Linked DNA regions of Saccharomyces cerevisiae S288C. The protein of the gene in region 4 interacts with the protein of the main gene of each other region in a pairwise test. Each region holds a gene or a part of one and is shown on either strand. Other genes may lie near its edges.

The links.
Region 1: the proteins of ERG26 (region 4) and ERG28 interact in binary tests that used the Saccharomyces cerevisiae proteins (3 or more experiments, as listed by UniProt).
Region 2: the proteins of ERG26 (region 4) and ERG1 interact in a protein complementation assay, tested with the Saccharomyces cerevisiae proteins (one study listed by BioGRID).
Region 3: the proteins of ERG26 (region 4) and ERG27 interact in a protein complementation assay, tested with the Saccharomyces cerevisiae proteins (one study listed by BioGRID).

What each region holds. Positions count from the first base shown.
Region 1 is NC_001137.3:235,180-241,127, reverse strand, and holds ERG28 (Erg28p), read left to right. Parts: upstream 1-3,111; coding exon 3,112-3,558; downstream 3,559-5,948. Other genes in the region: ACA1 (Aca1p), read left to right, coding at 1-1,096; MEI4 (Mei4p), read left to right, coding at 1,354-1,416, 1,505-2,668; SAH1 (adenosylhomocysteinase), read left to right, coding at 4,009-5,358; MXR1 (peptide-methionine-S-sulfoxide reductase), read right to left, coding at 5,637-5,948. UniProt on the Saccharomyces cerevisiae protein: Part of the third module of ergosterol biosynthesis pathway that includes the late steps of the pathway.
Region 2 is NC_001139.9:844,003-850,283, reverse strand, and holds ERG1 (squalene monooxygenase), read left to right. Parts: upstream 1-1,860; coding exon 1,861-3,351; downstream 3,352-6,281. Other genes in the region: ATF2 (alcohol O-acetyltransferase), read left to right, coding at 1-1,455; YGR174W-A (uncharacterized protein), read right to left, coding at 3,543-3,629; CBP4 (Cbp4p), read left to right, coding at 3,879-4,391; RBG2 (Rbg2p), read right to left, coding at 5,324-6,281. UniProt on the Saccharomyces cerevisiae protein: Squalene epoxidase; part of the third module of ergosterol biosynthesis pathway that includes the late steps of the pathway. ERG1 catalyzes the epoxidation of squalene into 2,3-epoxysqualene.
Region 3 is NC_001144.5:338,549-345,093, forward strand, and holds ERG27 (3-keto-steroid reductase), read left to right. Parts: upstream 1-3,261; coding exon 3,262-4,305; downstream 4,306-6,545. Other genes in the region: CHA4 (Cha4p), read right to left, coding at 1-925; lysophosphatidic acid acyltransferase ICT1, read right to left, coding at 1,196-2,380; MIM2 (Mim2p), read left to right, coding at 2,777-3,040; APC9 (anaphase promoting complex subunit 9), read right to left, coding at 4,422-5,219; DNA replication initiation factor CDC45, read right to left, coding at 5,441-6,545. UniProt on the Saccharomyces cerevisiae protein: 3-keto-steroid reductase; part of the third module of ergosterol biosynthesis pathway that includes the late steps of the pathway. ERG27 is a catalytic component of the C-4 demethylation complex that catalyze the reduction of the keto group on the C-3.
Region 4 is NC_001139.9:494,305-498,339, forward strand, and holds ERG26 (sterol-4-alpha-carboxylate 3-dehydrogenase (decarboxylating)), read right to left. Parts: upstream 2,199-4,035; coding exon 1,149-2,198; downstream 1-1,148. Other genes in the region: ERP6 (Erp6p), read left to right, coding at 213-863; EFM5 (protein-lysine N-methyltransferase), read right to left, coding at 2,829-3,061, 3,155-3,633, 3,696-3,730. UniProt on the Saccharomyces cerevisiae protein: Sterol-4-alpha-carboxylate 3-dehydrogenase; part of the third module of ergosterol biosynthesis pathway that includes the late steps of the pathway.

The DNA.
Region 1 (5,948 bases), on a different chromosome or scaffold from region 4:
CAACTGTCAGCCTCCGATCCTATCGTCTAAGGCGCAACAGAATCCCAATCCTCAACAGGTGGCAAATCCAAGCGCAGCCATATACCCAAGCTTTAGCTCGAACGAATTGCAAAACGTGCCACAACCACACGAACAAGCTACAGTCATACCCGAAGCTGCACCTCAAACAGGTAGCAAGAATATCTACGCTGCAATGACCCCGTATGATAGCAATATAAAGCTTAACATACCCGCAGTAGCAGCCACTTGTGACATTCCTTCTGCCACGCCTTCTATCCCATCTGGCGATTCCACAATGAATCAGGCTTACATCAACATGCAACTCCGATTACAAGCTCAAATGCAAACTAAGGCATGGAAAAACGCTCAATTGAATGTGCATCCATGTACTCCAGCCTCTAATTCTTCCGTTTCCTCTTCTTCTTCCTGCCAAAACATTAATGATCATAATATCGAAAATCAATCCGTCCATTCTTCAATTTCCCATGGCGTTAATCACCACACTGTTAATAATTCCTGCCAAAATGCCGAGTTGAATATTTCAAGCAGCCTTCCATACGAATCGAAATGCCCTGATGTCAATTTAACACATGCCAACTCAAAACCACAATACAAGGATGCCACTTCTGCACTGAAAAACAATATTAATAGTGAGAAAGACGTACATACCGCGCCCTTCTCCTCTATGCACACTACAGCAACCTTCCAAATAAAGCAGGAAGCTAGACCCCAAAAAATAGAGAACAATACTGCAGGCTTGAAAGACGGTGCTAAAGCTTGGAAGCGTGCAAGGCTACTAGAACGAAACAGAATTGCCGCTTCCAAGTGTCGACAGAGAAAGAAAATGTCACAATTACAACTTCAAAGGGAATTTGACCAAATAAGCAAAGAAAACACAATGATGAAGAAAAAAATTGAAAATTACGAAAAATTGGTTCAAAAAATGAAGAAAATTTCGAGGTTGCACATGCAAGAATGCACAATTAATGGTGGTAATAATAGTTATCAAAGCCTTCAAAACAAGGATAGTGATGTTAACGGGTTTCTGAAAATGATTGAAGAAATGATACGCAGCTCCAGTCTATATGATGAATAAAAGTATTGCGCATACTTCTTATGGGAGATCCAAATTCCCAGTACATTAGTTTGACTCTCCTTCCTTAATGTTTTCCTCTGTACGATTATTTATGTTTAAACGATTTATTTTACTATGTATGTATTTCCTTTCATTTTCTTTCGGAGTCATATATATTGCTGGGCGGCTAAATGTTTCCGACTTGTAAAAGAAAACATAACAAACATCTTGTAGTTGTGAAACAGTTTCATTAAATAATCTTTTAGAAGAGTAAGGACATGAGTAGAGGCAAACTGGAAGATATGGAACAAAAGGAAACATCGGAAGTTGACTGGATAATCGTACGTGAAATTGTCACATCCTTAACCTATTTTCTCTTTACTAACTTTTAGTAAGAGGTGTAATCTCCTCGAATATTATCTATGACAGTGTTTTGCTTTAATTCAATCCAGGAATCCTACGTTGTGGAAGAGGGCACTTTCAAGAAAGAAAGGAGATGTCGAAGATGTAGGTGCTCTCAAGAGTGAAAAAAATTTAAAAATAAATCCTCGGGAAAACTCAAAACATATATACAAATGGGTTGCGCCTTTCGAAAATGGATTTTTGAATAATAAATCACTGTTTGCTCATCTGGAACCTATATACAATTTCCTTTGCCAGAATAAGTACAAAAGCTTCGAAGATGCAGTTGGTTTAAAGGAGCTGCAATCATTTAGCAAAGATGTATCAACTGCTGATATAAACAACTGGTTTTTACCGAGATATAAAATTCTGCTAAAAATCCTGAGCTTAAAAACAAAAGAAATTGACTTTAGAGGGTTATCGCAAGTGTTTCAAACACTCCAAATCTTGTTAGTTTCTCATTATTCGCATCGCATAGATTCTGATTCTTCTTTTAAGAGGACACTGATAGACGTTCATGTTTTCAATTTCATCGCCAAGTTTCTGTTTAATAGAATTTTATTGAAGAAGAACCAAAACGATCCAAAATGGCTTCAAAACTTTTACGACCAGGGAGATGGCAAACATTTATGTGATAAAGTTGACTACAAGCGCTTGTGTTCGTTGCATTTTACCCTTATTTACTCTATTATTAACATTCAACTCATCAAAATCAAGACAAACCAAACATTTGAACCGCAGATATTAAAATACGTATCTGTTCTGAAATTAATTGAACACATACTTATCATCATCGAAAGTCTGATACATGTACTTATTAGATTTGTATCGAAGCATAAACTAATATGCATCAACCGGAAAAAGGCGTACTGTCGAGTATACCTCGAAAGAGAATTGAGTTTGAAGAAAACCTACTTAAAGAACTTTTACAGTGTAATAAGCGGTGTCCCAGAAAAAGAGTTAGGGGGTCTATTGAAAATACTCAAGATAGTTATTCTATCATTGCTCGAGACATTTGAAAGCATTGAATGGCAGCACTTAAAACCTTTCCTGGAAAAATTTCCGGCTCATGAAATATCGCTTCAGAAGAAAAGGAAATATATACAGGCGGCCTTATTAATTACTGCCGAAAGAAATTTGATAGCGCGCTTTCGATTGTCAAGATGGTTCAATGAGACAGAAAACATTTAATTTTTCTTTTGCAGTAGGAGGCGCATTATAAAACACAAAAATATCGAAAGCTCTTTCATTTCGGGGACAACAACTTCAGTTGAAAATTACAGTGAACACAACATCTTCCCCAACAGACCTACATTAAAACGCTTCTTCCGGACTTGCCCATGATTAACCTAATCTTATACGAACTGAATTAAACTTTACGGTATTACCGATAGGAAACTTCTATTTTATGATTTTTTCGTTCGGGGACGGAACGAACAGGAAACAAAAAAAAAGGTACGATCCATTGTATTCTCTACCCCCGTATATAAAACTAAGCTGAACAAGCCTGTTGTTTTGCTTTACTATTGCTACTATTTTTGACGTAAACGCATTGACTAATTTCAGGTTTTTATATTCTTGACACTAGCTAGACCATAGTATCGAAGGATTCAAATACACTAAAGTATCAGATAATGTTCAGCCTACAAGACGTAATAACTACAACCAAGACCACCTTGGCAGCAATGCCAAAAGGTTACTTACCAAAATGGTTACTTTTCATTTCCATTGTATCAGTCTTCAATTCTATCCAGACTTACGTTTCTGGTTTAGAATTGACACGTAAAGTCTACGAAAGAAAACCCACTGAAACAACCCATTTGAGTGCAAGAACTTTCGGTACTTGGACCTTTATTTCCTGTGTTATCAGATTCTATGGGGCTATGTACTTGAATGAACCACACATTTTCGAATTGGTCTTCATGTCTTATATGGTTGCCCTATTCCACTTCGGCTCTGAATTATTGATCTTTAGAACTTGTAAGTTGGGAAAGGGATTCATGGGTCCATTGGTTGTCTCAACCACCTCTTTGGTTTGGATGTACAAACAAAGAGAATACTACACTGGTGTTGCTTGGTAATTCTGATGTAAGGGCAAGCATATCCTGTAAAAAAAATTATATAGAGATGATTTATTTATATAATGCCTATAGCAACCTTTATCCAAACCTTCCGTACATTATTTAACAGCAATTGTTTATCATTCATGATTATTTCTCAAAAAGCTGCCAATTTGGCTTCATTTCTGTAAGTATCCCTACCTCTCTCCTCTAACGCAGATATTTCTGTGCACGTGATCTCGTTGGCTTTTTTTTCGGCCGAAATTTTCACAGGCTAAGGCCGAAAAAGAAAGAAAATTTTCAGAGGAAAAAGAAAATTAAACGACCTCGAAGCCGTATTTTAGATTTTCCAATCTCTTATTTAGTAACGTGGTTTATTAACTCCATGATTCCATTCCTATTTGTTTTTCTTTCTTTCTGAAAATCCTCTTCTCCTCGAAATAACCCAACTGACAAAAAGAACAATTCCCAATGTCTGCTCCAGCTCAAAACTACAAAATCGCTGATATCTCTTTGGCTGCCTTCGGTAGAAAGGAAATCGAATTGGCTGAACATGAAATGCCAGGTTTGATGGCCATCAGAAAGGCTTACGGTGACGTCCAACCTTTGAAAGGCGCCCGTATTGCTGGTTGTTTGCACATGACCATTCAAACTGCTGTTTTAATTGAAACTTTAGTTGCTTTGGGTGCCGAAGTTACCTGGTCCTCTTGTAACATCTATTCGACTCAAGATCATGCCGCCGCTGCTATTGCCGCTTCCGGTGTTCCAGTTTTTGCCTGGAAGGGTGAAACTGAAGAAGAGTATTTGTGGTGTATTGAACAACAATTGTTTGCCTTCAAGGACAACAAGAAATTGAACTTGATCTTAGATGATGGTGGTGATTTAACCACTTTAGTTCATGAAAAGCACCCTGAAATGCTGGAAGACTGCTTTGGTCTTTCCGAAGAAACTACCACCGGTGTTCACCACTTATACAGAATGGTCAAAGAAGGCAAGTTAAAGGTTCCTGCCATTAACGTTAACGACTCCGTCACTAAGTCCAAGTTTGACAACTTGTACGGCTGTAGAGAATCCTTAGTCGACGGTATTAAGAGAGCCACTGATGTCATGTTGGCTGGTAAGGTTGCCGTTGTTGCTGGTTACGGTGATGTCGGTAAGGGTTGTGCTGCTGCCTTAAGAGGAATGGGTGCTCGTGTCTTGGTTACCGAAATTGACCCAATCAACGCTTTACAAGCTGCCATGGAAGGCTACCAAGTTGTTACCATGGAAGATGCATCCCACATTGGTCAAGTTTTCGTTACCACCACTGGTTGTAGAGATATTATCAACGGTGAACATTTCATCAACATGCCAGAAGATGCCATTGTTTGTAACATTGGCCATTTCGATATCGAAATTGATGTCGCCTGGTTAAAGGCTAACGCTAAAGAATGTATTAACATCAAACCACAAGTCGACCGTTACTTGTTGTCTTCTGGTAGACACGTCATCTTGTTGGCTAACGGTAGATTAGTTAACTTGGGTTGTGCTACTGGTCACTCATCTTTCGTTATGTCTTGTTCCTTCTCTAACCAAGTCTTAGCTCAAATTGCTTTGTTCAAGTCTAACGATAAGTCTTTCAGAGAAAAGCACATTGAATTCCAAAAGACAGGCCCATTCGAAGTTGGTGTCCACGTTTTGCCAAAGATCTTGGATGAAGCTGTCGCTAAGTTCCACTTGGGCAACTTGGGTGTTAGATTGACTAAATTGAGTAAAGTCCAATCTGAATACTTGGGTATTCCAGAAGAAGGTCCATTCAAGGCCGACCACTACAGATATTGATCAATTCAATTCCCATTTCAGTTCTTCTTTCTCACTATTTTTTAATGTTCAAAAACTCAACGGTTTGATCATCAAAAAAGATCATAAATAAATTGCAAATATAAAAACAACAGCTAACAATCCTATCACAGTATTAATACTAATACATGTGATACTAAGTTACGTTATCGAAAAGATAGATCCTGTATACCTATATATATAATAAATTCTTCAACAGTAAATATTTCATTCATGCACTTGACTTTTTTTCATAAATAAGGGCACGTACACTAAAAAAGCTACATTTCTCTCAGATAATGAGTAGGGCATGCATATCCCTGTGGATTCTTATCTAAATATAACTGGTGGTATTCTTCAGCATCGTAAAAGTTCTTGATTGGTTCAATAACTGTGGCAATCTTATTACCCCATTTTGGTTGCCATTCTTCCTTTATTTTGGCTAATTCTTTTAAATCAGCATCTGAATGAGCGAACAATCCACTGCGATACTGTGTACCTTTATCAGGTCCTTGTGAATTAGATGTAGTAGGATCATGGATTCTAAAAAAGAAATCAGTTAATTCTCTCAAAGTTATCACTTTGGGATTATA
Region 2 (6,281 bases), 350 kb from region 4:
GGTGTTAATAAGAGACAACTAATGCTTGTCTTGAAAGTATTACTTCAAAAATACTCAACTCTTGCGCATACAATCATTCCTAAGCATTATCCTCATCATGAAGCGTACTACTCTAGCGAAGAGTACCTTAGTAAACCTTTTCCACAGCATGATTTCATAAAGGTGATTTCTCATCTTGAATTCGATGACTTGATTATGAATAATCAACCAGAATACAGAGAAGTCATGGAGAAAATCTCAGAACAGTTCAAAAAGGATGATTTCAAAGTCACCAATAGGTTAATCGAATTGATTAGCCCTGTAATCATACCTCTGGGTAATCCGAAGAGGCCTAATTGGAGATTGATTTGTTTACCAGGTAAGGATACTGATGGGTTTGAAACGTGGAAAAACTTCGTTTATGTCACTAACCACTGCGGCTCCGACGGTGTCAGTGGATCGAATTTTTTCAAAGATTTAGCTCTACTCTTTTGTAAAATCGAAGAAAAAGGGTTTGATTATGATGAAGAGTTCATCGAAGATCAAGTCATCATTGACTATGATCGAGACTACACTGAAATTTCTAAATTGCCAAAACCGATTACGGATCGTATTGACTACAAGCCAGCATTGACTTCATTACCCAAATTCTTTTTAACAACCTTCATTTATGAACATTGTAATTTTAAAACCTCCAGCGAATCTACACTTACAGCTAGATATAGCCCCTCTAGTAATGCTAATGCTAGTTACAATTACTTGTTGCATTTCAGTACTAAGCAAGTAGAACAAATCAGAGCTCAGATCAAGAAAAATGTTCACGATGGGTGCACCCTAACACCCTTCATTCAAGCGTGCTTTCTTGTAGCCCTGTATAGACTGGATAAGCTGTTCACAAAATCTCTTCTCGAGTATGGGTTCGATGTGGCTATTCCAAGCAACGCAAGAAGGTTTTTACCAAACGATGAAGAGTTAAGAGATTCTTATAAATACGGCTCCAACGTTGGAGGTTCGCATTACGCCTATCTAATCTCCTCATTCGACATTCCCGAAGGTGACAATGACAAGTTTTGGAGTCTTGTCGAATACTACTATGACCGCTTTTTAGAATCGTACGACAACGGTGACCACTTGATTGGTCTGGGGGTCCTACAACTTGATTTTATCGTTGAAAACAAGAATATAGACAGCCTTCTTGCCAACTCTTATTTGCACCAGCAAAGAGGCGGTGCAATCATCAGTAATACAGGACTTGTCTCGCAAGATACGACCAAGCCGTACTACGTTCGGGATTTAATCTTCTCGCAGTCTGCAGGCGCCTTGAGATTTGCGTTCGGCCTAAACGTTTGCTCCACAAACGTGAATGGTATGAACATGGACATGAGCGTGGTTCAGGGCACTCTACGGGATCGTGGCGAATGGGAATCGTTCTGCAAGCTCTTCTACCAAACCATCGGCGAATTTGCGTCGCTTTAATGCGATACTGCCGTAGCGGGCCTTCGTATAGCTCGGCCGAGCTCGTACAAAAGGCAAGCAGTGTATCGGACAGAGCTGATATAACACAATACGCTCGTAGTCGATGCATGCCGTGGCTGCTCTCGGTCGGGTATAAGTCTTAGACAATAGTCTTACCTCGCATGTATAATAAATCTTTTGTATTTAATCTATTATATGTTTCTATGCTTTTTTTTCCTATTGTTGTTTGCTTTTCCTTTTCCTTATTTCTTTCTAGCTTCTAATTTTCTTTCTTTTTTTTTTTTTTTTCATTGAAAATTATATATATATATATATATCAGAACAATTGTCCAGTATTGAACAATACAGGTTATTTCGAACAATTGAAAAAAAAAAATCACAGAAAAACATATCGAGAAAAGGGTCATGTCTGCTGTTAACGTTGCACCTGAATTGATTAATGCCGACAACACAATTACCTACGATGCGATTGTCATCGGTGCTGGTGTTATCGGTCCATGTGTTGCTACTGGTCTAGCAAGAAAGGGTAAGAAAGTTCTTATCGTAGAACGTGACTGGGCTATGCCTGATAGAATTGTTGGTGAATTGATGCAACCAGGTGGTGTTAGAGCATTGAGAAGTCTGGGTATGATTCAATCTATCAACAACATCGAAGCATATCCTGTTACCGGTTATACCGTCTTTTTCAACGGCGAACAAGTTGATATTCCATACCCTTACAAGGCCGATATCCCTAAAGTTGAAAAATTGAAGGACTTGGTCAAAGATGGTAATGACAAGGTCTTGGAAGACAGCACTATTCACATCAAGGATTACGAAGATGATGAAAGAGAAAGGGGTGTTGCTTTTGTTCATGGTAGATTCTTGAACAACTTGAGAAACATTACTGCTCAAGAGCCAAATGTTACTAGAGTGCAAGGTAACTGTATTGAGATATTGAAGGATGAAAAGAATGAGGTTGTTGGTGCCAAGGTTGACATTGATGGCCGTGGCAAGGTGGAATTCAAAGCCCACTTGACATTTATCTGTGACGGTATCTTTTCACGTTTCAGAAAGGAATTGCACCCAGACCATGTTCCAACTGTCGGTTCTTCGTTTGTCGGTATGTCTTTGTTCAATGCTAAGAATCCTGCTCCTATGCACGGTCACGTTATTCTTGGTAGTGATCATATGCCAATCTTGGTTTACCAAATCAGTCCAGAAGAAACAAGAATCCTTTGTGCTTACAACTCTCCAAAGGTCCCAGCTGATATCAAGAGTTGGATGATTAAGGATGTCCAACCTTTCATTCCAAAGAGTCTACGTCCTTCATTTGATGAAGCCGTCAGCCAAGGTAAATTTAGAGCTATGCCAAACTCCTACTTGCCAGCTAGACAAAACGACGTCACTGGTATGTGTGTTATCGGTGACGCTCTAAATATGAGACATCCATTGACTGGTGGTGGTATGACTGTCGGTTTGCATGATGTTGTCTTGTTGATTAAGAAAATAGGTGACCTAGACTTCAGCGACCGTGAAAAGGTTTTGGATGAATTACTAGACTACCATTTCGAAAGAAAGAGTTACGATTCCGTTATTAACGTTTTGTCAGTGGCTTTGTATTCTTTGTTCGCTGCTGACAGCGATAACTTGAAGGCATTACAAAAAGGTTGTTTCAAATATTTCCAAAGAGGTGGCGATTGTGTCAACAAACCCGTTGAATTTCTGTCTGGTGTCTTGCCAAAGCCTTTGCAATTGACCAGGGTTTTCTTCGCTGTCGCTTTTTACACCATTTACTTGAACATGGAAGAACGTGGTTTCTTGGGATTACCAATGGCTTTATTGGAAGGTATTATGATTTTGATCACAGCTATTAGAGTATTCACCCCATTTTTGTTTGGTGAGTTGATTGGTTAACTACAGCTTATAAGGGAGAGAGGATAGGAACCGTCAAACATTAAGCTGCACCTTTTTTTTTTATTACAGAAGTCGGCTTGGAAGGCTTGTATAGTACATTACGATAAACACATCTTATTTTTATTTATTACTTATTTATTTTACATATTTTCAAAAAAATTCACATATCATTTATTATTAACCGAAGTGTTTTATACTTTTTGTTCTTTCCTTAAAAATGCCTCCAACAGAAAAGGAAAAATGGCTTGATATGCTTCAAAATATGCATTGAGATTCATATTCGGTTATCAATTAACGATATTACTTCCTTAAGTGATATTAAATCAAGCTTGCCGGATTCTGCAGTCAGAATTATACATAATAGTATTTGTGCTCTCGTAAATCCTTTCAGAATTACACCATAGTAGTCTTTGTGAATGTTCTACTTATTAGAATAGATTATTGCTAGTTTATCTCACTTTTCATTCCCCATATCCCTTTTTTTGCTCATCCCCCGGGGTATTTTATCAAGATAAAATTTTATATACATGCAGTGCGCGATAACTCCTAGAGAGGCAGTAATAGCAAAACAAAGACAGTATAAGCATTATTTGGGTATGGAAAGACCATTGTGGGTACGTTGGTTGAAAGTCTATGCAATTGGTGGCGCTATTATTGGAAGCGGGTTTCTGCTTTTCAAGTACACAACGCCAACAGATCAACAGTTAATCAGCCAGCTTTCCCCAGAATTACGTTTACAATATGAGAGGGAGAAAAAACTACGTCAGTCGGAGCAGCAGGCTTTGATGAAAATTGTTAAGGAAACTTCTCAAAGTGACGATCCAATTTGGAAGACGGGCCCCCTTCAATCACCTTGGGAAAGGAACGGTGATAACGTTCAAAGCAGAGATCACTTTGCTAAGGTGAGGGCGGAGGAGGTGCAAAAAGAAGAGTTGGCTAGGATCAGAAATGAACTGTCTCAGCTAAGATCTGAAACGGAGGAGAAAACAAAGGAAATAGTCCAGGATAAGCAGGTTAAAAGCTGGTGGCGCTTCTGGTAGATGGGTCGGGTCACTCAATTAGGAAGGGCAGCTTGAACTTTTGCATCCTAAAACATACGTCTGTGTCATTTATGATATATTATTTATTTGTACACTGTAAATAGGTTTAAAAATATAACTTCATACTTATTTTTAGCTATTTTAGTTCCCATACTTGGGGATGGAAAAAACATTGCGCAAGCCCGGAATCGAACCGGGGGCCCAACGATGGCAACGTTGGATTTTACCACTAAACCACTTGCGCTTGTTATTTATATGAGATTATTGCATCATGCAATGGGGTAATGTCAAGGTTCTTGACAATCCTAATATAAACAGTCTTAGGGAAGTAACCAGTTGTCAAAACGGTTTATCAGCTTGATTCACGGGATCTTACTTATCCTATATATTATATAAAATATGGATCATACTAAATGGTGGAAGCGCGGAATCTTGGATCTAAACCAATTGTTCAGATACTTATACGTTAGAGTAGGTTAGCTAAGGAAGGCAGAGTTTTATTTTCATGTTGCTCATTCTGTTCGTTTTGCTGTAAGGTTGTTTCATATGTGTTTTATGAACGTTTAGGATGATGTATTGTCATACTGAGGTATCCCATTCTGAGATACAACAGAGAAGGTTCCTTTATACTTACTACACTAGGTACCACTATTATAATTTCGAGATTTCATTGTCATTCGGGTTTATTTATTCATTTGAAGCCCAGAATGACAATTTTTATGAACGGAGCTCTTCAAATTACATTATAAAAGTATATACGAATATACCATGAAAGTAACACCTTCCGGTTCTCACTAAAAAACCTATTTTCAGCATTTATTTCTACTACAAGGAAAATGAGTCCGTTTAGTCATGCAAAATCTCTGCTCCGTACTACAGTTCTCGATGCTGATCTTGTTTTTTCATGTTTCTTTAAAATCTATTCATTTATACTATTTCGCGAATAAAGAAACTACATCTTCATCATCAATCCTGTGGTTTAAGCCGCACTTCTGAGGAGAATGTTTGGCAGAAGAACCCCAAACCAATGCGTATTTGAACTTATCTTTGAAATCCCTGTGGATACCATGACATAAGTCACCAATAGTGGAATTATTTCTTACCACTAGAGGATCATCAAATACTGGTCTAACACCTCTCTTCTTTGTATACACACGACTCAAGTTCAGCTGGTACCAAATTTCTTCAACGACGTCTTGTAATCCCAAATCCATTTCACAGGACATAACAACGGTGTTTGGCTCTCTGGCAAGTTTATCCACCTCTTCTAATGATACTGCATCTATCTTATTATACACATAAAGACATTTGACATAATTTCTATGTTGTTCGTTAATAACATCGATAAAATCATCAATCGTACATTGGTCATCTCTTACCAGAACTTCTGCATTATGGATACGATAATCTCTCAAGATCATTTTGATTGCCTGTTCGGTTAAATTGGTCTTTGGAGGGGAGGTAAACGTAACTTTCACGCCACCAGTTTCTTTTTTCTTATAGTAAATATTTGGTTTCTCTTTATTAAGCCTGATGCCTACATTTTCCAGCTCCTTCTCCAAAGATGCTCTTTGATGTTCACTCTTTGTGGCATCTAAAACCATTAATACTAGATCTGCGGTCCTTGCTGTTGCAACAACTTGCCTACCACGACCTTTACCCTGCGAAGCACCATAAATAATACCTGGAAGATCCACAATTTGGATTTCTGCACCTTGGTACTTCAATACACCAGGAACGGATGTCAATGTCGTGAAAGCATAATGAGCGATCTCAGACTTGGTGGTGGTAATTTTACCCAATAAGGAGGACTTACCGACGGAGGGGTAACCTATTAAAACTACTCTAGCGTCACCTGATTTTGCCACTTCAAAACCAGACCCTCCTCCA
Region 3 (6,545 bases), on a different chromosome or scaffold from region 4:
CTAATTTCGAAGAGGACGACGATTCAGCTAACGAAGAATCTTCCAGTTGAAAAATTTTTTTGAGTACTATCGTCTTGGCTCTTTGATAAAACACTTCAGATTGTTGAAAAAGCTCAGTTTCTGATTTGTATGAAATCAAAGATCCCAATGCAGCGATTGCAAATACCAATTCTTCGGAACAATAGTAACTTTTAGTGTTAGTATCACCGAAGAAAGCACTTAAGAAAGTTTCTCTATGAATGAAAAGGTAATGTCCCGGGTATAGCCATTTGAAAAAGAGTGACAACGATCTTAAGATAAGGGGACTTCTTGATAAATTTTTTAGGCTGACCTGCTGTTGCTGATATCTTGTGCTTCCATCCGTCTTCTTTTTTATTATAGACAAGGAATTTGATGGATATATACTATTTGTGCCAACTGGTGGAGGGCTCTCGGAAGGCATTTTCTTGGTGAACGCATCAGACTCATTCTCATCGTTGCTTTCAGATGATGGTAGTGCTGATTGTGCTGTTTCGCCATACTTTAAGATTTTTTCATTAGGAGCATCACCATGATCACTGTTGTTTTTTAACGAGGAGAGAGCATTGCTAGCAATTGTGGAAGACGAGGAACTTAATATTTGCAACTGTTCTTTCAAAGACCGAATCTGGCTCTGTAAAGCTTCTACGTAAGTCGTAGAATATCTTTTGTTCCTTAAGTCTTGTTGAGTGAATACACATTCGGTACGAAACTTGATACAGTTTGAACAAGGCTTTTCCATGTTACATTTCCTTCTTCTTCTACGGCAATTCTGGCATGCTAGTTTTCTCTTCCTGGGCACGTTGTTATTATTCTGGTCATTATCTGTCACAGATTTCTTTAAACTGGACGGAAGGGAGGGTGTTACCGTTGTTGTTAAAGGTGGAGGTGAAGGCTCCAACATCATTGCTGCGATTGTGTAGAGCTTCGAGTTTTAAAAGGGCTATTTTTGAAAACTTACGGCGATGTCAACTTGTTGATTTTGCTTTGTTTCGTTCGGGATGGATCGGAACATCCGCTCACATATGAGAGGTTTACACTCTTGATGTATATGTTGCTCTATCTTGTATACGGTTAAGTAAAGTGATGTATTATGTATATGTATGTATTTATATATATATATATATATATGCGTGGTTTTCCATATTGTATTTTTCTTCTCTACTCTATATAGGCATTACTTTGACAGGAACGAGACTAAAGAAGAGGCAAAGTGCTGCGGGTTGTCCAGGAAAAGATTATGGCCAGCATCAGGGACTTCAACGTAGCTAGCCTTTGCCTTGTTTTTTAGCATTGATTCAGTAGTCAAGTAGCCCGCATATTTATCCATCCAATCGTGCTCGCCATACATGAACATGACAGGCGTTGCTGGGTTCAAAAAACGAACGTTGTTTATTATCGGATCTCTAGCGATCAGATTCCTTTCAAACAAATGGGTGAACACCTTGATTGTCTGTGGTTGCACCGTCTGGTTCTTCCCGACAAATGAGTGCAAAAGATAGTCCTTATATATCTGATCCGGAACTTTTACGTATGCGGTGGAGATGTAGTTCGAGCACAATTTGGAGCCTATGGGTCCCATCCACTTCAAAACGTTTAGCTGGTTTTCAAAGATAAACCGCGGTACGTTCAGCTTTCTTGTATAATATCGGGACGATGGGTCGGTAAACGTAAGTGGATAGGTGGTGTTGGGCTCCCATTTGTGGGTGATAGCATGTATACTGTTTTCCACACCAAGAGGAGATATGAGACACAGTTTCTCAATGGAATCAGGGTACTTGAGGGCGTATTTGAATGAAATATATCCTCCGAATGAATGGCCCACCACGTTTATTTTGCGAAGCTTGTTATCCTTCCGCCATTGCTCTATCCTGTCTACGAAGTAGCTTTCGTACTGCTCCAGGTGTGACTTGATGTCCTCTGCTGGGGGGCGCTTCTCTATCACAGGGATTACTACGTCATCTTCTATATGCTTAAACCTGAGAGACTTGATCTTCTTGGTTTTGTTCACTTGCAATGCTGGCGCCTCTGAGGCACCATTGGCTGGCAAGTCGATGGCATATAGATCTTTAATGTTGTCTGACAGGTTCTCAAACGTCCTGTAGAACGCCATCGACGAGGCAGCGTATCCATGGATTAGTACTGTAGGCGTGCACACTTTGTTCGCACGCTTATTGTGGAAATGCCACTGGTTAATCCCGCCTGGAGTCATCGTGTTATTAACGGACCCACGCACAGTGGTGCTATCCATAATTTGCTGCTGCAGGGCCTTCAGGCCCTGCACGCTAGCACACACCTTGGCGTCTGCAGTAGTGGTCTCCTTCTCAGTTTTGCTGCACCATTTGAAAGTGTTTGTCCACATTCTACTGAAGAAAACTACGCTTACGTATGTATATGTCCTGAACAATGAGAGAAAGACCTGCGAATATACTTCTACTACTCCACGTACAAAAAAGAGCACGCTGCTTTATTTATACTTTTGTGCCACAAGAATGATCAACATCAACATAAATATCAACTAGTATCTGCAACACATCTGCTCCACGGAACTAAACCCGTTGAGCAGTGCCCCGTGGAAACGTAAACTATCGCAAATTGGGATTAACAAGCCAAAAACAGCCAAGCAAGATTCACGAAACCGCGCCTCGTTTGGACCCCGAAGGCCCATTTAACGGCCGGCCGTTACAAGCAAGATCGGCAGAGCAAACCACTCCCCAGCACCACAGCACATCACTGCACGAGCAACAATAACTAGAACATGGCAGATAGCGAGGATACCTCTGTGATCCTGCAGGGCATCGACACAATCAACAGCGTGGAGGGCCTGGAAGAAGATGGTTACCTCAGCGACGAGGACACGTCACTCAGCAACGAGCTCGCAGATGCACAGCGTCAATGGGAAGAGTCGCTGCAACAGTTGAACAAGCTGCTCAACTGGGTCCTGCTGCCCCTGCTGGGCAAGTATATAGGTAGGAGAATGGCCAAGACTCTATGGAGTAGGTTCATTGAACACTTTGTATAAGTGTTTGTTGTTTATGTATCCGCATATAGCAGTTATAACAGATAAATGGCACTTTTCGCACACCCGTTGTTTTATCTCCGATAGTACGTGGGCCTTTATTTATGGTCGTTTAACGAAAGAACGGCATCTTGAATTGAGCAGGTATTTAAAAGATAGGACGAGAAACAAGCACATGATCTGTGTCGAAAAAAAGTAGCAAAGAGAAAAAGTAGGAGGATAGGATGAACAGGAAAGTAGCTATCGTAACGGGTACTAATAGTAATCTTGGTCTGAACATTGTGTTCCGTCTGATTGAAACTGAGGACACCAATGTCAGATTGACCATTGTGGTGACTTCTAGAACGCTTCCTCGAGTGCAGGAGGTGATTAACCAGATTAAAGATTTTTACAACAAATCAGGCCGTGTAGAGGATTTGGAAATAGACTTTGATTATCTGTTGGTGGACTTCACCAACATGGTGAGTGTCTTGAACGCATATTACGACATCAACAAAAAGTACAGGGCGATAAACTACCTTTTCGTGAATGCTGCGCAAGGTATCTTTGACGGTATAGATTGGATCGGAGCGGTCAAGGAGGTTTTCACCAATCCATTGGAGGCAGTGACAAATCCGACATACAAGATACAACTGGTGGGCGTCAAGTCTAAAGATGACATGGGGCTTATTTTCCAGGCCAATGTGTTTGGTCCGTACTACTTTATCAGTAAAATTCTGCCTCAATTGACCAGGGGAAAGGCTTATATTGTTTGGATTTCGAGTATTATGTCCGATCCTAAGTATCTTTCGTTGAACGATATTGAACTACTAAAGACAAATGCCTCTTATGAGGGCTCCAAGCGTTTAGTTGATTTACTGCATTTGGCCACCTACAAAGACTTGAAAAAGCTGGGCATAAATCAGTATGTAGTTCAACCGGGCATATTTACAAGCCATTCCTTCTCCGAATATTTGAATTTTTTCACCTATTTCGGCATGCTATGCTTGTTCTATTTGGCCAGGCTGTTGGGGTCTCCATGGCACAATATTGATGGTTATAAAGCTGCCAATGCCCCAGTATACGTAACTAGATTGGCCAATCCAAACTTTGAGAAACAAGACGTAAAATACGGTTCTGCTACCTCTAGGGATGGTATGCCATATATCAAGACGCAGGAAATAGACCCTACTGGAATGTCTGATGTCTTCGCTTATATACAGAAGAAGAAACTGGAATGGGACGAGAAACTGAAAGATCAAATTGTTGAAACTAGAACCCCCATTTAATATATCTCTGCGTACATATGTATATATATATATGTGTGTATATACATGTATGTCTGTATAGAAAACGCATATCAACTGATATATATACACGTGAAGCAAAAAAGGCATTGCCTCTGTCAGAGAAACGAACTATCCTCGTTGCTATAGTGTCTTCTGCACTTATCGCGTAGACTTTCTATTGGCACTCTGTCATGGCATTTAATCTTGTACACATTCTTTAATTCTTCTTGCAAAAGAAGGTACTCTTCATGCAAATGATGACTTTGGAGTGAATTGACTAATCCTGAGTCGTTCCAGAAACTTTTTAAGGCGTTCGTTTCATGATTTATTATGTCATCCAACCGTCTCATATTAGGTTTCGAATTTGTTACAAATTCTCGCCTTGATAACCTCTCCAGGTCTTCTTTGTTGCATCCAGGTACACTCTCTAACAACATTGAACCATTGCCCTCCGGATTCGCACTGTCATATTTATTAGCCTCTTCGCCGCACATGATGTCAATATCGGGTCGATAGCTGTCTATGCCGTCTAGATGGCCCACCTTATGAAACACAAGACAATGTGCTGCCCTTTCGGCTTTCAAAAAACTGTCAATTCTACTTTCCCTTAGCGTATTGCGCTCACAAAACGGTGAATAATCGTATTGCTTTTCTTCCTCGATGTGGCTCAAAGTATTCAGATAGTCGACTTCGTCTACGTCCATATTTATCCCATAGAGATCATCTGCAGTCCTCTCCTCTAGTACTTCGCCTGTTATGGGCATCGAATCATCATTTATTACCCTTGTCGACCTTTTCCGTAGCGGTGTGGTAAAATTGTTAAAGTTGGCTTTGTTGAACCTTGGTGTTTTCCAGGGCGGCAATGACGGTAGTTGAAACAACTTGCCTTCGTTCTTATCACCATTTTGGTTCATCTTACTTTGTCACAGCTATTTCTTTCCTTCCTGAATTTGTCCTTCCAAACCTAGTTCCCTGTTCTTAATTTCCTTTTATTTAGGTTTTTTTTTTTGTTTTGTCAAGAGCCGCGCACAAAATATGGTATTATTATAGAAAAGTTGGACTTAAAAGCTTGAAAAAGCTTAGATTTTATATTCATATGCTGGTATATATGTACGACTAAATAATATAAATTTGATTATAACAATCCACTCAAGGTCAGCTTCTCCAGGAATGGTGAAAGATCTTCACGACGTATTTCAATTATGGAACTTTCAAAATTATCTATTCTCACTTTAGCATCCGTTTCTGCAGTTATTTGTTGAAACGCCATGCTGAAATTATTCAAAATAGGTTTTTTTGTGTGTATCGTGTCTAGTCCGCGAGGATACCTAGGTGTTAACCCAGCAACCAAGTAAGTGTCCGTATTTTCATCTATGCTGGCAAGCACCATGGGCAACAATTGCTTGTCTTCAGATTCCGCACAGCATTCTATGAGCCAATTTCCTAATCTTAATAACGTCAATGGGTTTCTGTACAAGTCTAAATCGGGTCCGTCTTGTAAGACGCATAATCTATAAATTCTTAAATGCTTGATTAATTTCTTCTCCAATATAGCAACCCCGGTATTAAAAATTGCTCTCTGTAAGTCTTGTGCTAGTTGAATGCCACGGTTTAATAGTTCCACCTTTCTGTCATCTAGAGCATCCCAACTGAGCCAAAAATTCGAAACCCATCTTTTTCTCAAATTCGTCAATTTTTGAGCGCTGTTATCTTCTTCTTCCTCTCCATCTGTATCGTCATTATTGTCATTATTTATTTTCACACTATCCTTATCAGTTGAATTACCTACTTCCAAAAGAGCTGTTAGTGCTTCGACAAATTCACTGGCACTTATGGACCCACGATATCCAAGAGTTCTAACAAACCCATCTCTAATTATATCTTGCAACCCATAACGATCCAAATTTTTGTCAAATATTATCCCAAGTTCTCTCTTAATAGAATGATCCATGTATAACCATGTTTCTTGTGCAGTACTTAATGGTATACCCATTCTAGCAAACATCTTATGCAATCTCTTTTTCCCATTTTCATTCCATAGGGATAGTTTGGCATTGACATAGTTAGAATAATAAAAACTGTCGTACAATGAAGAATGCCTCAGTAAGAAAAGGTAGTAATCCGGTTGGATGTTTAACGTCAATGTATCAGGGGTCTTTACTGAGTTTCTACTGCTTGGTGTGAGACGCTTCACTTCATCTTGCAATAAGGGGTATAATCGATTGTAAACTTGAGCATAT
Region 4 (4,035 bases):
GCTAGAAGCGGTGCAAAAAACCATTTTGTGTGGGATAAAAAAACGTCGTGGAATTAGAAACTCGTTCTTCGGGTAAGAAACCAATATCGACACAACAAGATATGGGGTGTATAGTTAAAATCTCTACTGATAGACTTTATTGGTGAGGTTGTGAACAGATTGTTGGCGCTTTCTTCCTTATCGCCTCAATCTGAAAGGATCTAGATTTGCCAATGTTATCACACTACATCTTCCTGGCATTCGTTTTATTGCCATTCAGAGTTTCCGCGTTTTACTTCTATGGTTATGGTGGAGACAGAAAATGCTTCCTGAAGGAACTATCCAAAGACACCCTTTTAAAAGGTTCTTACAATTTGGAAGTTTACGATGATAAGTTGGCAGATTATGCGCTTCCCAGTTATAATGACTATGGCATTGTCATAGATGTGGAAGAAGTCTTTGATAATAATCATAGGGTAGTCCACCAACAGGGCTCTCCTTCCGGTGACTTCAGCTTTCTAGCTTTGGAATCTGGAGAATATAAGATCTGTTTACAGTCTAGGGTAAATAACTGGGTAGGGAAAACCAAAACAAAGTTAGAAATCGAATTTGAAGTCGGTTTTGAAGCAATGTTGGACATGCAAAGAAAAGAAACCTTGGAAAGTTTGCACGGAAAAGTCAGTATATTGAATTCTAAGATCGTGGATATCAGGAGAGAGCAACAACTGATGAGAGAACGTGAAGAATCCTTTAGAGACATATCAGAGTCTGTGAATTCTCGCGCAATGTGGTGGACGGTAACTCAAGTTACTCTTCTCATTATAATTTGTGTATGGCAAATGAAAAGTTTACGCTCGTTTTTTGTTAAGCAGAAAGTATTATGACCGTACATATCAAAAAATTGAATCCTTAGCAGGCATACATGAGAATTTCGTTGTTTCAATGATTTATTTCTATTTATTTACATGCATTACCCCGACGCTTCATAGTGTAGTCATTAAATGAGTGTATACATATATATACTAACCTAGTCATCAAGATGTTTTAGGTGTTTCAATTCTTATTATTCATCTATAAAGACAGAATAAATATATACGGTGCGTATCAGATATGCTATTTCAACATACTATCTTTCGATAATCGGATCAAAAAGCTCCTAACGATTGCCATTACAAACCTTCGTCCATCCAGGCCAACGTTTTGTTAATTCCTTCTTCAATACCAACTCTTGGTGTGTAGCCTAGCAACTTTTTGGCCTTAGCAATGTTGTGATAACGGTATGCACACACAATCTTGACTCTGAATGGAGTCAAACCTGGCTCTTTACCCAGCATCTTGGATACCCATTCTGAAAGATAACCTGCACAAATTGCAACTGGCCTTTTCAAAACAATAACATGTTTATCAATATGACCATCTGCCTTCCACACAGTACGGGCCAAGGCCCAAAAATAGGTGGGGGTATCATTGGTAATGAAAAAAGTTTCACCCGAGACAGCAGTTCTTGTTTTTGGATCGAGAAGTTTCTGTGCAGCTAACACATGCGCGTCAGCAACATTTCCAGCATAAGTCCAATCAAATAGATTGTTATTATCACCAATTTGGAACTTCGACTGCCCCAATTTCGCAACCTGTCTTAGACCAGGTACTAATTGCCTATCACCTGGGCCAAAAATACCAGCTGGACGAAGAGCAACAGTATAGAAATCACTGCTTGGATCATTCGCCTTCAAGACCATATCTTCGGCGATAGCTTTAGTCTCATTGTACGCATCCATAGGAACTTCTGGGATTGGCCAGGTTTCGTCTGCATTGTGCACATCTTGCCCATTAAAAATAACACCAGCAGAGGAAGTATATACAAGTATATTAACGCCACATTTCTTGCACATATCTATCACGTTACGGGTTCCCTTAACATTCACTATGTCATAAATATCTGGATTTTGACCATGCATTGGAGAAGCACAATGAACAACAACATTTGCTTTACTTTCGTTAATTGCGTTTTCCATATCATCAGGTGATGTTAAATCACCCTTATGAAATTTTATGTCGTCTACATTAAAAGTAAACTGTTTTGAAAGTTTTTCAGGGAGATCTCTAACATCAAAAATGTGGATGTCTGGCTTAGGATTAATATCAAAAAATTGCTGAATTAAGTGCAATCCAAGAAAACCAGAACCACCGATAATTAAAACTGAATCTATCTTTGACATATTTATTTTTGTTTGCCCTTCCAGGTAGAGTTGCAAATAAAATTGGACAAAATTGACAATCTATATTGTTGTCTATTCTATTTTATAGCTGCAGCATAATCTTTTCCTTGCAGGCTTATATGAGATTTTTAAACGATACCATTTCTCGAGAGAACAATAAACGATCTATAGGGACTATCGGACCGAGAAATATAAAATCCACAAACACCGACAATAAAATAGCCTCTAAAAAAAAAAAAAGGTCCTGGAGAAAGCAATATTCATACCGCATTAACTTTCATTGAACCGAAGATCTACAAATATCCTTTCCTTGCATTATAATTATCCAATACTTTGTCGTCAATATTCTTTCAAAGAAAGAAAAAATATGAAATCAAAATTAAACATTTTTCTGTAATTTCCGTAATACAAAAAACTATTTTCTTTTCGGAAGGCAAAAACAAAAATTATAATAAAAATAAAAATATGTATAATATAATTTTTATCTTCTAACTTTTTATTTATTGAATTTTTATATAGTAAATATAACACGTGATATATTTGAAATGTGATTATATTATATATATTGATGTTTACATATTTTTTATGTAGTACAATTAATTTTCAAATTTATCGAAGCTCTTAAAAAGCTCAAGAAGCAAATTTCCATGAACTACATTCAAAATTTGCGTAGCACCTAAATTCGTTACTCAAACCATTAGAATGTTCAGGAAGAAAAGTTGTTATTCTTGTGTCAGAATAAACTTTGGATATGACTTCAGACATTCTTTCACCAGTACAACTTATGAGGCGGTGCTTAAAAACTCCTTTCTTAGTTTTAGAGTTGTCATTTGGCGCTAATAAACACTTTGCAGTGATAGAGGCTATTTTATATCAATGAATAACAGTTAGTAAGATGAAAAGATACTGGAAAAAAGATTAAAAAATGAGTAGGGATATGTTTATGATATACATACACTTTGTTTGACAATCTTCATTTAAAAAAGGTGGGTCAATTAACAATCTATCAACTTTTCCTTTAATTTCATCACTGAAGTCCAGTGGTTTATTGTAATCATAAAAAAAGAAATGATCTCTTCCAGCTAACAACTCGAATCTCTTATCAAATTCGAACAAGTAGATATGTTCGGTTGGAATTTCATTAGTAGGTTTCTTTTGAATGGCAGCATAGACGGATGGCGCACTAACTATTGCAATTACAGTGTTTTCGTCCGCACCTTCCAATATGGCATCTGCTAAAATTGCGGCTGTGTCATCGCTGTACCAAAACTGGGAAAGCTGCCAATCTTCCTTGAAAAGCTTCATCCCTTCTTCTTTTTTTTTCTTTTGGAAGTCTTCATCCGTTTCGTCGTAAAGCTTTTGAAAGGCTTCTTGATGTTGTTGTTCCTCTCTTTTGAATTCTTCAAGGGCAGCGAGGGCATTAGCAGAAAGTGTCCTATTAAGTTTCGTGTTAGTTAGTAATTCTACGTTACTGTGTTGAAAATATCCTGTACTTACAATTCATAATCGGAGTCGGAGTCGGAGTCGGACATTTTATCAGTGATTCTTTCGGTTTCATTAAGATGTAAAGTGACTGATTAGTATATTAGTCAAGATTAATATTTTTTTTTTTAGTTCCTCCAGTTCAAAAAAATTTTGTTAGATTTAACCGGCATAAGGTTCAGCGATACAGACGAAAAAAGAAGCCTCTAAATGAATGGGAAATTATATATACATGTATATTATGCAGTTGATATTCTATGAGATGACAATACTAAACTATATACCTATATACATTGCCCATCTTGGATTTTGCTGCCTTACAGATGACAATATAAGTTATTTAGAGATTGAGGGT